2 linked regions of the Ovis aries genome follow. The protein of the gene in region 1 purifies or fractionates together with the protein of each later gene. This does not show direct contact. Links are inferred from orthologs where the notes say so. Each region holds a gene or a part of one and is shown on either strand. Other genes may lie near its edges.

Region 1 (6,762 bases):
CGGTGTCTGCACCAACTTAGGTCCCGTCAGTAGTGCACAGGGGTTCCTATTTCTCCTCATACTGTCAGACATTTGTTGTTTATCATCTTTTTGATTAACAGCCATCCTCACAGGTGTGAGGTGATAGCTCCTTGTGGTTTTGATTTTCCTTTCCCTGGTGATTAGTGATGTTGAGCATGTTTTCATGTGCCTGTTGGCCATCTGTATGTCTTCTTTGGAAAAATGTCTATTCAGCTCTTCTGCCCAATTTTTTAGTCAGATTTTTCCATTTTTTTGCTATTGAGTTGTATGAATTTTTTATATATTTTGGATATTAACCCATTTCAGATAAATAATTTGCAAATATTTTCTCCTGTTCCGTAGGTTGCCTTTTCATTTTGTTGATGATTTCCTTTGCTCTATAAAAGCTTGTTAGTTTGATATAGTTCCACTTACTTACTTTTGCCTTCATTGCCTTTGCTTTTGGTGTAAGATCCAAAAAAAATCATCCACCAATATCATTGTCAGCAAGCTTACTGCCTGTGTTTTCTTCTGGGAGTATTGTGGTTTCAAGTCTTACATTCATCTCTTTAGTCCCTGTTGAGTTAATTTTTGTGTATGTTGAGAAGAGACTTATCTTCATAAGAGTCTATTATATTTTATTAATTATATCTTTGATCAGTATTCTTCTAAGATTGTAGCCTGTAGAAATAACTGATATATATACAAAATATAGTGGCTTTATATGGAAATAGCCCTTTAAAGAATACAATTTCAGTTGTTGTTTATTCATTTTCAAAGAACAGCTATATCTGAATAACCAAATAGAATATCTGTTTGCTTGATATTATCACTGCTTTAAACATTGTAAGATGAAATTTTAATAGACTTTGTGAAATACGTAAAGTCTTGCTTTTAGACATCCTTGGCATTGGGTTAAGAATGTAACATCAGAATATGTGGAAGCTTTTCATTTTTATTGCTTTCCCTCTATTTTTAAGTTAAAACTAATGTTTCTCTTTTCTGTTTTTTTTGTTTCTATTTTAATTGACTCTCTTGCAGTGAACTTAGGAGGACTTTTACTCCAGGCACTCCTAGAATATTGGCCTAGGACACATGTGAATCCAATAGATGAAGAAGAAAATGAAGTAAATCATGGTTCGTATTTTTATATTAGGATAATTGGTTTTAAAATTACTCTGAAGTTAAGGATATTTAGATTGTTATCCTGAGAATTTTTTTAAAAAATTTTTTTAAGCATTTGCTAAAGTATGACATAATAGTTGGGGTATGCTCAATTTATTGCCCTCCCTTCTACATGCTAAAGAACGTCCATCCAGTCTTAACTGAGATATCGAAGAACTTTTAATTACTACACAAGGTATATGGAATCAATCCTGTGTATTCAGGTGACCTTTGTCCTTGAAAGTAGGCAGCTTAGCAGGTTCATTCTAACAGTATTTCTCAAGGTATCCATGGACCTGCTGGATTTACCTCCAAAGCTAGCTATTTAGCTGCATTGGAAAGCCAGGTTTGTTGTTGTGAGGCATGCCTCACATTGGCCTGAAAGGTAGATATTCCCTAGTCTGATGATCTACCTGATATTGGCTCAAAAAAGCAGCTCCCAATTCAGAAGTGCCAGGGTAAGTGACTGAGTATGTGTAAAGAATTAATGTCATTGAGGACATTCCAAAGCTGTGTGTGCCACAGGCAGCAGCAGTAACTCACTGGGCAGCCCGGGAGAATTTGGAACATATGAGTTTGGCTCAGTCTGATTCAAGAAAGGAGGGGAAAAACTTAAAATATCACAGCTGATACATAACCTTGAGTCCCCCCACTGAGGACTTGCTCTGCTAAAGATTCTCTGAAGATTGCCTATTTGTGGTGGTCAGCAGTGATGAAGCCCTCCTGCCAGAGAGTTTGTTGTGGCTGACTGATTCATCCAGAATAAATTTTGGAGTTTAAATCTGTTTTGCAAGGATGGCATGCCTCTCTGTAAGCCAGTGTCCTGATGTCCCTGTCTGAGAGAGAGCACTGACCCCACACATGATGGCCTTTCTTCTGTCACCTGGCTCGCTTCATTCCCCTTCTGAATTGTACAGTGAACTGTGAGCCAGAGTCAGTGGAAAGATCTGCTCACAGGGTCGAGAAAGCTAGGTTCTGCTGTGGGCTCTGCCGTTTTATCAGCTGTGCAGCTGCGGGCATGCCATTTCCTGTTCTTGACTTGTCTTTCTCCATCTATAACCTGACGGTGCCCTCGGAGGCCCAAGGAGCCAATAAAGACCACGTAATCGAAACAAAGGGCCCCAGGCAGCATCTCTTGAAGGCAGACTTCGGTTGGGGGAGTAAAGAATAAGTCACAGGAAACGTTAAATCATCCTTAGAATCAAATTGGCCTAGTGAAGGCAGGGCAGGACTGAGCCAAGCTCAGGACACGGCTCGCACTACCTGGCTGGTAATCCTGCTGGACCTGCACGACACACAGCGGACCCTCAAGCTGCTTGGGTTATACGAGGTGGGCAGCTCGAGTATTCGGAGGCCTGAAGTGAGTTGTGAGGATAATAGGGATAGATGGACATGGATCCCTCCATTCAGGGACTAGCATTCTGGTTGGACAAAGCACCGCTTACATCTGCATTGTGTGATCAGAGTTGGTGCTGTGAGAGAGTGTTGTTGGGTTGCAGAGGGTGAGATTGCTTCCAGATTCCTTCAGAAAGTAGTTATGAACAAGGGGGAGTCAGCTGCAGAGAGCTGACTGAAATGAAATCTGACTAAAATGAAATCTGCAGAGAGCAATAAAAATGAGTTTATGACCTCTTTGAGATTTTGTTTTTCACTAATACCGTTAGTTGTGGCTGCCATTAAATATAAACTTTGTTTCTGACACAAATTTCTCTGTGCTTGGTGTTTTACCAATCCCCACCCCACCAGCGCCAAAGGAAAGAGCAGATCATTGTTTATAGACTGTTCTAGACTGCCCTGTGGCTGAAGTAGATGGTTATGTTTTTGTTTTAAATCTCAAACATTAATCTCCTCTAAAATGTAATCATTTCTCGTGAGGTATATCGCACATTGCCGTATTTCTTATTTTCAGGAACTTCACTTTGTTTTTTACCTTTATTTCCATCTCTAGCTGACTTACAGGACTTCTTGACTTAAGTCTTGCAATGGTTGGGTCCTGTGGAAACAAAATGTTTAGAGTCCATGTTGTTAGCGCTGACTGGATCCTGACGCCATCTGTGTCTTTTCCTAGTAAACGGGGAGCAGGAGAACCGAGTACAGAAAGGAAATGGCTACTTTCAAGTGCCGCCACACACCCCTGTGATCTTCGGTGAAGCTGGAGGCCGCACCCTCTTCAGGTATGGGTAGGAAGGGCTAAGAGTGCACCCTGTTTGCCCTGAAGTTTTGATTCAAGCAAATGTCTATTAATTTCTAGGGGTGTCTGGGTTTTGGTTTTTCACCTCCCTGAAATAGTTAAGTGTCTGATGCTGTTAGACCCCATCTTAATTCAGAGCTGAGCCTCTAGTGGTAAAATGAGGTTGATACCTTGTGGAGGTTGATAACCTTGCCTCAAGGCAGCTTCTTAGCAGTTTCTGCAGGAAGTGCTTTTTCTCACTTAACCAGCCAGACTGCCAGGGACAGATGACTTCACCAGAAGTCCCCACCCACAGGACAACATCTGAGTAGATAACTTCCCTCAGACCAGGCCAGGGGAGATGGACTGGGCTGCTCCTGGGAACTGTCATGCCCAACAATGGCTCGACCTGAGGTGCAAGGCAGTCCTTCTTGAGGGCCTGCAGGCAAGTGCTAGGCTGGCTTCACCTCCAAGTTGCTAGCCAAGGCCCAGGAAATGTCATGGGAGAAAGCCATGGGCCAGAAGTAAGAAAGCTATTTGTCTTGCCCTTGAGAGCAGAATTCTCTTCCTTGATGGTGATTTCCTGAGAGTGTGGTCACTGAAAACCGCCTGACCCCATGTTGTGCATGGACTACCGTGCACTGTAGCTCTGCTGAGCGACCTCAAGTGCCTTGCCTACACCCAGCTTCCTGTCCTCACCCAGGGGCCCCAACAGGCAGCCACAGTGTCCGTCTGGCCTCGAATCTGGGAGCCTGAGTTTGACAGCTTGCTTTCACTCTTAGCAGAGTGAGTCATTCTGCCTGCCTTCTACTTTATTTCCTCAGCTGTCAGTTGGGGGTGATCCTGAATGAACTCTATAAGCTCCCTCCCTCTAACATTTAATGATAGTGATATTGGGATCCGTGCTTATTTTGTCACTTACTACATGATGGATTATGTTTAGGCTGCTCTGCCGAGATTCTGGGGGTGAGACTGAGTCCATGCTTCTTAATGAGACGGTGCCACAATGGGTAATTGACATCACTGTGGATGTAAGTGTCCTCCACTCCCACTTTGTCCTCTTATTTTTTTCCAAATCATGAAGAAAATTTACTGTATTAAATTGTATAATCTTTGATTGAAACTAGACTGCCAAGTGGAATCCTCTTCTGCTTCTGTGCAGTTCCAAAGCTGCAGAGAAATATTATAATTATGTCTCTTTCTATCTTTATTTTTAATATATAAAATGTGTTTATCAAAGAAAATAATAAATGAATAAGGTGAAATTCCCATCCTTTTCCAAACACTGTCTTCCATTCACTTCCTCTTCTTCTTCCCAGAGGTAGTAAATATTAATAGCTTAATGCCTTCAGGACCTTCTTCTGTGCATACACAAGTATGTGTTTGTGTCTGTATATGTGTGTCTAGATATATGTGATCCATATGTAGGTCATTTTATTTTGCACAGAATTTGCTGTTCTGTACTGTTCTACAACTTGGATGTGTTTTTTTGTTTTGTTTTTCACTTAAAAATATATTTTGGACATTTTTTCATATTAGTGTATGGATCACTTCTTCTTAATGACTGCATATTTTGTTGTATAAATGTACCATGGTTTATTTAGCCAGTCCCTATTAATGGACATTTAGGTTGTACCCAATGTTTTCTGTTAAAAACAATGCTTCAGTGAACATCCTTGTATATATATCTTTGTGTACTTTTTAGGGTAAATTCCTAGAAGTGGAATTGCTGGATCAAAGGGTATGCACATTTTAAATTTCAATGGATACTGCCAAATTGCACTCCACTAAGGGTATACCAGTTTACACTCTCACCAACAGTGTGTGAGTGCCCAGAACCCCACACCCTCACCAATGCTGGATACTTAGAATCTTTGCTGAAAGATAGACATATTGTCTCATTGTTCTAAATTTTTTTAACTTACAGTGAGGTTAAGCATCTTTTCATAGTGGCCATTTTTATTTCTTTTGTAAGTTGCCTGTTTGTATTCTTTACTCGACTTTCTATTGGGTTATTTGTCTTTCTTATTGACTTGTAATAGTTCTTCATACTGAATATTAACCCTTTGACCATTCTCTTGCCTCTTGATTGAATTTTTACTTTGCTCATGATGTCCTTTGGCAGGCAAAAAGTTTTAATTTTTATATGACCAGATTAATCCTTTATGGCTGTGAGTTTCATGTCTTGCTTAGGTATTTCGCACTCCAGAGTAGCAAAAATATTTTCTTGTGTTCTCTTCTAGTATGTTTATGATAATAGTTTGTATCTAGATCATTAAAGTATTAGAATTTATTCTATTTGGTGAATTTATTCTGTTTGGTGTGAAGTGAAGTAAGATGCTAACTTTCTCCAAATGGGTAGCCAGTGTGTCAACACAATTTATTGAATCATCTAAACTTTTCCTACTAATTTGAAATGCTGTTTTATCATATACTAAATTTCTATACACACATAGGTCTGTTTCTAGTTATGTGCTATTGACCAATTTTATGTCTATTTAAAGCCTCATGAAAAGAGATTTAATCTCTAGAACCTTCTAGAAAATTTGTTTTCTGTCCCAGATAAACTTCCAAGAACTTAAAGCCAGTCTGACACCTGATGGATATTCTAGTCTTCTCTAAATTTGAGCTCCCCATAAACCACTACTTCCTTTGAGTGTGAAACTCACTCGGATGCATTGCTGACTTTAGGCCTGTGGCTTATTCCCTGGAGGAAACATCCGAAGAGGATATGACATGGAGGCTCAAAGGGGATTAATCCCCATAGCAAAGATGACCAATTAATTTTATCCTTTATCTAAGTGTATGGTTTACATCATATGGACATCTAGGTGGTTGGCTGAACTTTCCACTCTTATTTGAAACCTCAGACAGACCTCACTCTGATGTCAGAGGTAAAGCAAGTTAGGAGGACTTGATTGACCTTTAGAGGTGGATAATGGACCTTACCAGCATAGAGTGTATGGTTTTGCTCAAAAGTGAATGTTGTGGGTTTCTCTCAAGATACTTAAATTTTTGTTCTGGCATTTGAATGTAGACTTGAGATTTTGGTTTGTATGGCTTAAAGGATTAAAATAAAGTTTGTTTCCCTTTAATACCTTGAATTGTTACTTGAGAAGAGCCATGCTGCCATTTTATACTGCTACTGACACTGCATATGATTTGTCTTTATATATGTTTTATTACAAAATTAAACTTTATACTTTTCTGATACCCTGTCTCTAAGGCTGACATAATTTGAGAGCTTACTATAAATTTCATAGAAAGTCACTTTTAAATGTACAATAGCAATTAACTTATGAATCATGTTTTCACAAGTATTGACATCATTTTAGTTTATCAATTAATAGACACTATTTTACTTTTTTTCACTTTTAATATTTCAGAAAAATATGCCCAAATTCAACAAAATTCCTTTCTACCTCCAA
Region 2 (7,278 bases), on another chromosome or scaffold:
GAGGATCTCAGCCTGAGGAATGAAACTTAGGTTAAAACCCTTCAGTTTGGGCGTAACCATTCCCAAAGTAACCGTCCTCCTCACCCTCCTCTTTCTGCAGGTGTGATTACTGCCTCGGGCAGGCAGGGATGGGTGGAGAAGATAACACCCCATTCCCCACCCCTCTCACAGGCTAGCCTGCCTGGCGCCTGACCCCAGGGAAGGACAAGCTAAAGCACTCATTGCTTCATAAAAGCTGCTTTGGGAATCTTGTCTGGGGTGGTCGGGGGCGGTGAGGTGGGGGGTGGTCCACTAAGCTAACTGGGAGCCCAGGAGATAATGATTCCCTTTCCTTAGCCTCAGTCATCTGAGCTCTGGGCTGGCTCCAATCTTCCTGCATCCCAAAGTACTTAAAGGGGTTTTACTCTTGGAAGTCTCAGGACAAGAGAGACCCAAGCATCCCAACAATTAGAGTTCAACCCAAGCTGCTGCTGGAGATGTTGTTGGGGGCTGGAGCTGGGGGGTGGGGTGTCTACTGGACCTGACAGTTGGTTCTTAGCTCCTCCTCCCATCCTTAGAAGCTGGCTTCCCTACCTGGCCAGAAGCGTGGGCACAGACCCCTTGGGCTGGGATCAGTTAGAATGACTCATCAAAGGGTGTGGGAGATTCTGGGCAGAATACCCTGGGGCCTGAGCCCTCCCTCAATCCACACAAGAGCTTTTGAGGACACTGCCCAAACACTCAACTAGTGAGACTTCTGTCTCACCCAACTTCCAGAATGACGTTGGGGGTGGGGCCTGTAGGTGGGGAGGGTCAAGTCCCAGACTTGAGCTTGGAAACCCAAGTCACTGAAGCTCCTGCTCAGAGTCCAAATCTTCCCTGTCCCTTAGCCTCAGGATTGCCAGCCTCAAGATCAGTCCTGTGGCTCCTGGCCCCTCCCTGTCCCAATATTCAGGGTTCCCAGGAGGCATCCCACACCCCATCCCCCACGAGCTTTTGCACGTGCTACCCAGCTTATATCCCACAAAACCCACACACATCCCGACAGTGGAGGGAAGAGAGAATTCCTTTGAACAGCCCTTCTAGGCAAGGGGGGCGGGTGGTGGGAGATCGGAAAGAAGAGGAAGAGGATGGAAGGGAAGAGGGAGGGGGAGGAGGCAGAGGCTGCAGGAAGGCCTGAGATGCAGGAAGCAGCTGGGAGTGGGGGGAGGCTTTGTGCCTGAGGTGTTCTCTGGGTCCTAGGGTCCACAATGTTCATTATTTTCTGGGCTCTGTGGAGTGAGGCTGCGCATCTCCATCTATCATGGCCAAGGGGGTGGACCTTCACTCCCAGGCCCTGAGCAAGGGTACAGGGCAGTCTCAGGCCCCTTGTTATGCATGGGGGGTTGAGGGGAGTATCAAAACAGCTGCCAGGACAGCAGACGTAGATGTCACTGCCACCCTTCCCCTCCCTCCCTGCAGTCACACTTTCACACAGTGGCCAGAATCCTTTAGATGAGAGATAAAAGCTAGAGCTCTCACTGGTGAAACCCGGGCCCCAGGCCTCCAGAATTCCTCCTCCAAAACTCCTTCTTCCTGTTTGAGAGGCAGGAATGCCCTAGTAAGGCCCTGAAGACAGGGATTCCACCCCTCATTTCCAACCTGGGCCCAATGCAGGCAGTTGATAGCATACCCTCTTCAGAATTCCAGAGGGCAAAAGCCAGCTTCAGGCGGCCACATGGGTGATGAGGACCATTCCTTTCTTTCCCTTTCTCCTCCACCATGAGACCAGAAACATCGGGCCAAAGTTTCACACCTTAAAAAGTACAAAGGTTCCCTATTGTTAAAATGCAGATTCCAAGGCCAGCCTCTGAGATTCTGCTTCACAAAGTCTGGGGGAGGATCCAGAAATCTGAATTTTAAAAAAGTTCAAACTAGGCAGCTCTGAGAATCTTGAAAATGATCCTTTGTCCCTCCCCCATTATTCCCCCTCCACACTCAAGAGTAGAGGCCCACACTGAGGCTACTGAGTGGTTGGACTGCCTTCCCCCAATATTTAGTGAAGGGCTTCCCTGGTAGCTCAGGCGGCAAAGAATCTCCCTGCAATGCAGGAGCCTGGGGTTCAATCCCTGGGTCAGGAAGATTCCCCGGAGGAGGAAATGGCAAACCACTCTAGTATCCTTGCCTGGACAATTCCATGGATAGAGGAGCCTGGTGGGCTACAGTCCATAGGGTCGCAGAGTCGACACGACTGAGGGACTAACACACTTACTTAATATTTAATGGGGGGGTGAGGTTATATATGTTGTGAGAAGCTACAGTCAGAGGTTGGGATGGAAGGGTTGAAGAAGACTGGCCAACCACTGGGGTCAGCGGAAGGCTATGGCGAGGGCCGGTAGGGGAGGAGTATGCATTGGGGTGGAGGGGAAGGGGAGGGCTCACAGGCTCCGGTCCCGGAAATTCGATCCCTTTAGGACCCAGAGATGCCAGTCCCCCAGCGGCGGCGGCGAGAAGGGCAGCCGCTTGGTCTCCGGCAGCCGCCGCTCGGGCAGAGCCAGAGAAAGACCGAGGCTCGGGGCGCGGGGGGGAGGGAGGGAGGGAGGGTGGCGCGGCGGCGGCGGCGGCGGAGCGGCCCGGGCCGGCCGAGCAGCTATGGGCGCCCGGGTGCCGGGCCCCTGGAGAGCCAAGGCCCCCGACCGGGGTAGGGGGTGCCGGGGCTACCAGCCCCGCTGACACCGCCTCGGACGATGTGAGCGGGCGCCTCCGCTGCTGCAGGGCAAGCGGTCCCACCGGCTCCGAGCGCCGCTTTTCTAATTTGGGTGGGGGCCACCATACCAGGCCGCTCGGGCTTTGGTAGAAGGGCGGGCTGTCTTTGGCAGCTTGGTTGGGGGAGGCGATCCGCACAGGGCGCTCGGAGATTCTTTTTTCCTTTTTTTTTTTAAAGCGAGGTTAACTGTTTTGGGTAGCTTGGTTTTGGGGGGAGGCTTTAAAAAGGCCTTTCGGGGTTCCTTTTCTCTGGGGGAGGGGGCGGTGGTCCCGACTTGGCCCGCCGCCTGTTGGAAGGGGGGAGCGGGAAGCGTTGGGATGTGAACCCAGCTCCCCCCACTATGATGAAGACGGAGCCACGGGGGCCTGGGGGTCCCCTCCGGAGCGCCTCCCCGCACCGCAGCGCCTACGAGGCGGGCATCCAGGCTCTGAAACCTCCCGACGCGCCCGGGCCCGACGAGGCACCCAAGGCAGCCCACCACAAGAAATATGGCTCCAACGTCCATCGCATCAAAAGTATGTTCCTGCAGATGGGCACGACGGCGGGCGCGCCGGGTGATGCGAGCGGCGGCGCGGGCCCCACCGAGGCCCTGCGGGCGCCCGAGCGCGGCGTGCGCTTGTCGTTGCCGCGGGCCAGCAGCCTGAACGAGAACGTGGACCATAGCGCCCTGTTGAAGCTGGGCACCAGCGTATCGGAGCGCGTGAGCCGCTTCGACTCCAAGCCCGCGCCCTCCGCGCAGCCCGCGCCGCCGCCACACCCGCCGTCCCGGTTGCAAGAGACGCGGAAGCTGTTCGAACGGAGCGTCCCCGCGGCCGCGGGCGGCGACAAGGAGGCCGCGGCGCGGCGGCTGCTGAGGCAGGAGCGCGCTGGCCTGCAGGACCGGAAGCTGGACGTCGTGGTGCGCTTCAACGGCAGTACCGAGGCGCTGGACAAGCTGGACGCCGACGCTGTGTCTCCGACGGTCAGCCAGCTAAGCGCTGTCTTTGAGAAGGCCGACTCGAGGACCGGCCTCCACCGCGGGCCCGGGCTGCCCAGGGCCGCGGCCGCCGGGATTCCCCAGGTCAACTCGAAGCTGGTCAGTAAGCGGTCCCGGGTGTTTCAGCCGCCCCCGCCGCCGCCCGCCCCGTCGGGGGATGCCCCAGCCGAGAAGGAGCGCGGCCCCGGCGGGCAGCAGCCCCCGCAGCACCGAGTGGCCCCCGCCCGGCCGCCCCCCAAGCCCCGGGAGGTGCGCAAGATTAAGCCGGTGGAGGTGGAGGAGAGCGGGGAGTCGGAGGCCGAGGCAGCGCCCACAGAGGTGATCCAGGCGGAGGTGACAGTCCACGCGGCCCTGGAGAATGGCAGCGCCTTGGCAACCACCGCTAGCCCGGCGCCTGAGGAGCAGAAGGCTCAGGCGGCTCCCGAGGAGGAGGCGGCGACCGTGGCGGTGCCTGAAAAGGGGGTGGGCAATGGCCGGGCCCCGGACGTGGCCCCCGAGGACATAGACGAGTCCAAAAAGGAGGACTTCTCGGAGGCGGACTTGGTGGACGTGAGCGCCTACAGTGGGCTGGGGGAGGACTCTGGGGGCAGTGCCCTGGAGGAGGACGACGAAGAGGAGGAGGAGGGGGAGCCCCCCTACGAGCCCGAGTCGGGGTGCGTGGAGATCCCAGGGCTCTCGGAAGAAGAGGACCCGGCCCCGAGCCGAAAGATCCATTTCAGCACAGCGCCCATCCAAGTGAGTGAGCCCCCCTCCCCGCCCCCGCGCCGCCCCTGCCACGTGCGCGCAGTCGCCCCCGCCTCGCCAGCCAGCCGGCTTTGGCAGGCTGAGTCAGCCCTGTCACCCAGCCCCCTTCCCAGAAGTTACCTCCCTGAGGGGGGCGTGGGGGACTTCCAGCTGTTTGTCAGCGGGGGAGAGTATTTAGGCCTGAGATGAGGTGGCCTGCCCTGACCTGCCCTCGGGTTCCTCTGCCTGCTGCCCCACCCTGCCATGCGCCGGTCCTGGGACACCTGCTTTCCCTTCCTTTTCCAGACATTCTCCCTCCGGAGACTGCCAGAGGCCTGGGCTTAAGTGGTGGGAAGGTGTGTGTGTGTGTGTACCTGTGACCTCAGAAGAGCACCCCCGCTTTGGTCCTTACTCTGCTCTGGATCGGAGGGGCATGAGGAGCTTAGAAACACCCCTGCTTTCCTCCTGCACCAGAGCTGCACACGGGGGTGGAGGAGCCAGAAACTTCCCAAAACGAAGGTGCAGCCCCTCCTTCAAACTGGCTGTAGCCCTCACCCCAACTTTGCAGAAGTGAAAGAGGGAAGCAAGTCTCTGAGGTTGAGCTGAGCTGGGACCATGTGACTGGGGGCCCAGTTCCCTGGGGTCTGTGCTGGGCCAGCTCCCGAGGTGGGGGTACAAGGTTACATAGGCAGGCACTTTCTGTGGGTTTTGAGGAGCCTAGGCCTTCAGCAGGGTATGGAGGAGGAGGGGGTGGGGCTGGGAAACTCCCAGGTGCCTGGCAGCAGCCTCCTGCTTTTGCTCTTGGTGTTGGCAGGCACCAAGCGCTCTTGCCTCATTCTCTGGGTACCCTGAAAGGACAGAAGATCCTCCCTTTTGGGGGGCACATACACTGTTGGTGATTGGTTTGTGGGTTGTGCCAGTGCCCTCAGATCCTCAGGAGAGTGCTGGGAGAGATCCCTGGGAGAATTAAGAACCCCAGCCCCCAGTTTCCTGAGGCTTCCCTGGTGGCTCAGATGGTAAAGAATCCGCCTGCAGTGCTCTACCCTCTATTCTTGGCTGGCACATTCAGCTTAAAGACTTTTTCTCACCACCCCTAGCTCAGCTGTGCCCAAGTCCAAGTCTGCTGTATGGGGGTGTCAAGGCCAAGGAAAGTTCAGCCTTTACCCCTCCCCAGTCAAACCCCCCCTCTGTTTGATTGAAATTTCCATAACTCCTGGACACTGAAGCTGCCCATTTCCTCCCACCTGCCCCAGCATCTTAACCTCTGTTCCTCTTCCACCTCCCACCCCAGGGGGCCTGGGAAGTACAGCTCGCCACTCAGGCCAGCCCCTTCCCCCAGGCTGTGACCTCACAAGCCTTTTTGCCTCTCCTCTCCTTTTCTGAAGTGCTGGGATCCTGGAGGCAGAGAACTGAAGGATATGGGGTGTTTCTTGGGACACTGAGGATGCAAGTGGGGACCACTGAGGGGGTCAGGACACCCCACGGCCCTGCCACAGCAGTTCTCTGAACTGCCTGATCCCCTCAGAGGTAGAGTTTGGTCTTTTAGTCCTGAGCCTCTGACTGTCTATATTTGACACCTTACCCTGATTTTTGGGTAAAAAATAGCACATGATTTGGAGCAGTGCTCCCTGACTCCCTGGTGACAGTTGCTCGCCTGTGGTGTGTGGTGCCGCTTTGTGTGTCTGACTTTTGACCTTGCTGGGGATGTCTTCCTCCCCACCCAGTTTTTCCCTCTCTCTGCCCCCACCCCTGCACTGATACTAAGTCCAAGGTCTTGTGCCCCTCGGATGACCCAATTGTTGCCCACAATACAGAGGCTTCCGCTGAGGACAGAAACCTCAATTCTAGATAGTTATCTGGAGAGGGGGACTGGACCCAGGGCCCTCGGATAGGCTGGACACATGGAGGTGGGCAGTGTGAATGGTGGTCTGAGGCCTCTGACCCTCCCGCCTGAGTTTCCTGCAGGGGGCAGGATTTAATAATCTGAGAAAAGAAGGGAGGACAAAGCCTAGGACAGGCTGTGAGGGTGTTTTGGAGGTCACAGTGTGTGTCTGTGTTTGTGTGATTGCATGCGCTTACTCGTGGTGGGGAGGAGTTTGGTTGACCCAGGCTGCCACATAGACTGAGGGATGAAGAGACCCTCTCTGCTGGGGTAGAGGGTGAGGGTCAAGGGACTGGCATGCAGAAGTGGGCCAAAGCCAGTTTGCGAGATCTAGGCGCATGGCAGCCCCGTCCTGGGGCTTGGGACCTGTGTGCAGCGGGGACAAAGTCCAGTGACCTACCCACCAGTCTCATCCCACCCTGCTATGGGCTGGCTCCCATGACCTTGGACAGTGGGTCTAGCATCGTGCATTGTATGTGGACTAGGTGGCCCATTTCTCCCAGGAGCTTGGGGCTACTGGCCAGATGTCGAGAGGGCAGTCTGACTGCTGCACCATCGACAAAGAACGCTAAGGGTTTGCGCTCTTTCTCTGATGCTGTAAAGTTGAGGGCAGTGAGTTAAGTGACCATGTAGGCCCCTCCCAGCTAGAGCCCCCTGGTGGGAGCCATGGTGCTTGGGGGGGTGACACTAAACCAAGGCTGGGACACAAGAGCTGCTGGCCTGGGTGCCCGTAGCGCCTGCTTCTGGAGGAGAGGGACCCTGGCAGGGGCCTCGGGGGAGACAGTGTCCCACTCCAGCTGCTCAGGCCTCAGGCCCAGCCATCTGATAGAGCTGCTGCTACCCTTCATCGCCCCCGCTTGGCTCCAAGTGGTGCCAACCTGTCGCTGCAGGCAGTGAAGTGGGAACATGTCATGGTACCCCAAATGGTGCTCATTAACCTCCCACCAGGAGCACCCCGCCTGGACCCAAACT

What was found. The genes of interacting proteins can lie anywhere in the genome.
Region 2: the proteins of WDR48 (region 1) and PPP1R9B purify together in Homo sapiens (affinity purification with mass spectrometry; 3 studies listed by BioGRID and IntAct, with this or other methods). This does not show direct contact. The link is inferred for Ovis aries from reciprocal best matches to the Homo sapiens genes WDR48 and PPP1R9B.

The regions. Positions count from the first base shown.
Region 1 is NC_056072.1:12,417,809-12,424,570, forward strand, and holds part of WDR48 (WD repeat-containing protein 48), read left to right. Parts: intron 1-1,041; coding exon 1,042-1,137; intron 1,138-3,232; coding exon 3,233-3,338; intron 3,339-4,277; coding exon 4,278-4,365; intron 4,366-5,039; coding exon 5,040-5,075; intron 5,076-6,720; coding exon 6,721-6,762. UniProt on the Homo sapiens protein: Regulator of deubiquitinating complexes, which acts as a strong activator of USP1, USP12 and USP46. Enhances the USP1-mediated deubiquitination of FANCD2; USP1 being almost inactive by itself.
Region 2 is NC_056064.1:36,238,196-36,245,473, forward strand, and holds the start of PPP1R9B (neurabin-2), read left to right. Parts: upstream 1-2,455; 5' UTR 2,456-3,065; coding exon 3,066-4,436; intron 4,437-7,278. UniProt on the Homo sapiens protein: Seems to act as a scaffold protein in multiple signaling pathways. Modulates excitatory synaptic transmission and dendritic spine morphology. Binds to actin filaments (F-actin) and shows cross-linking activity. Binds along the sides of the F-actin.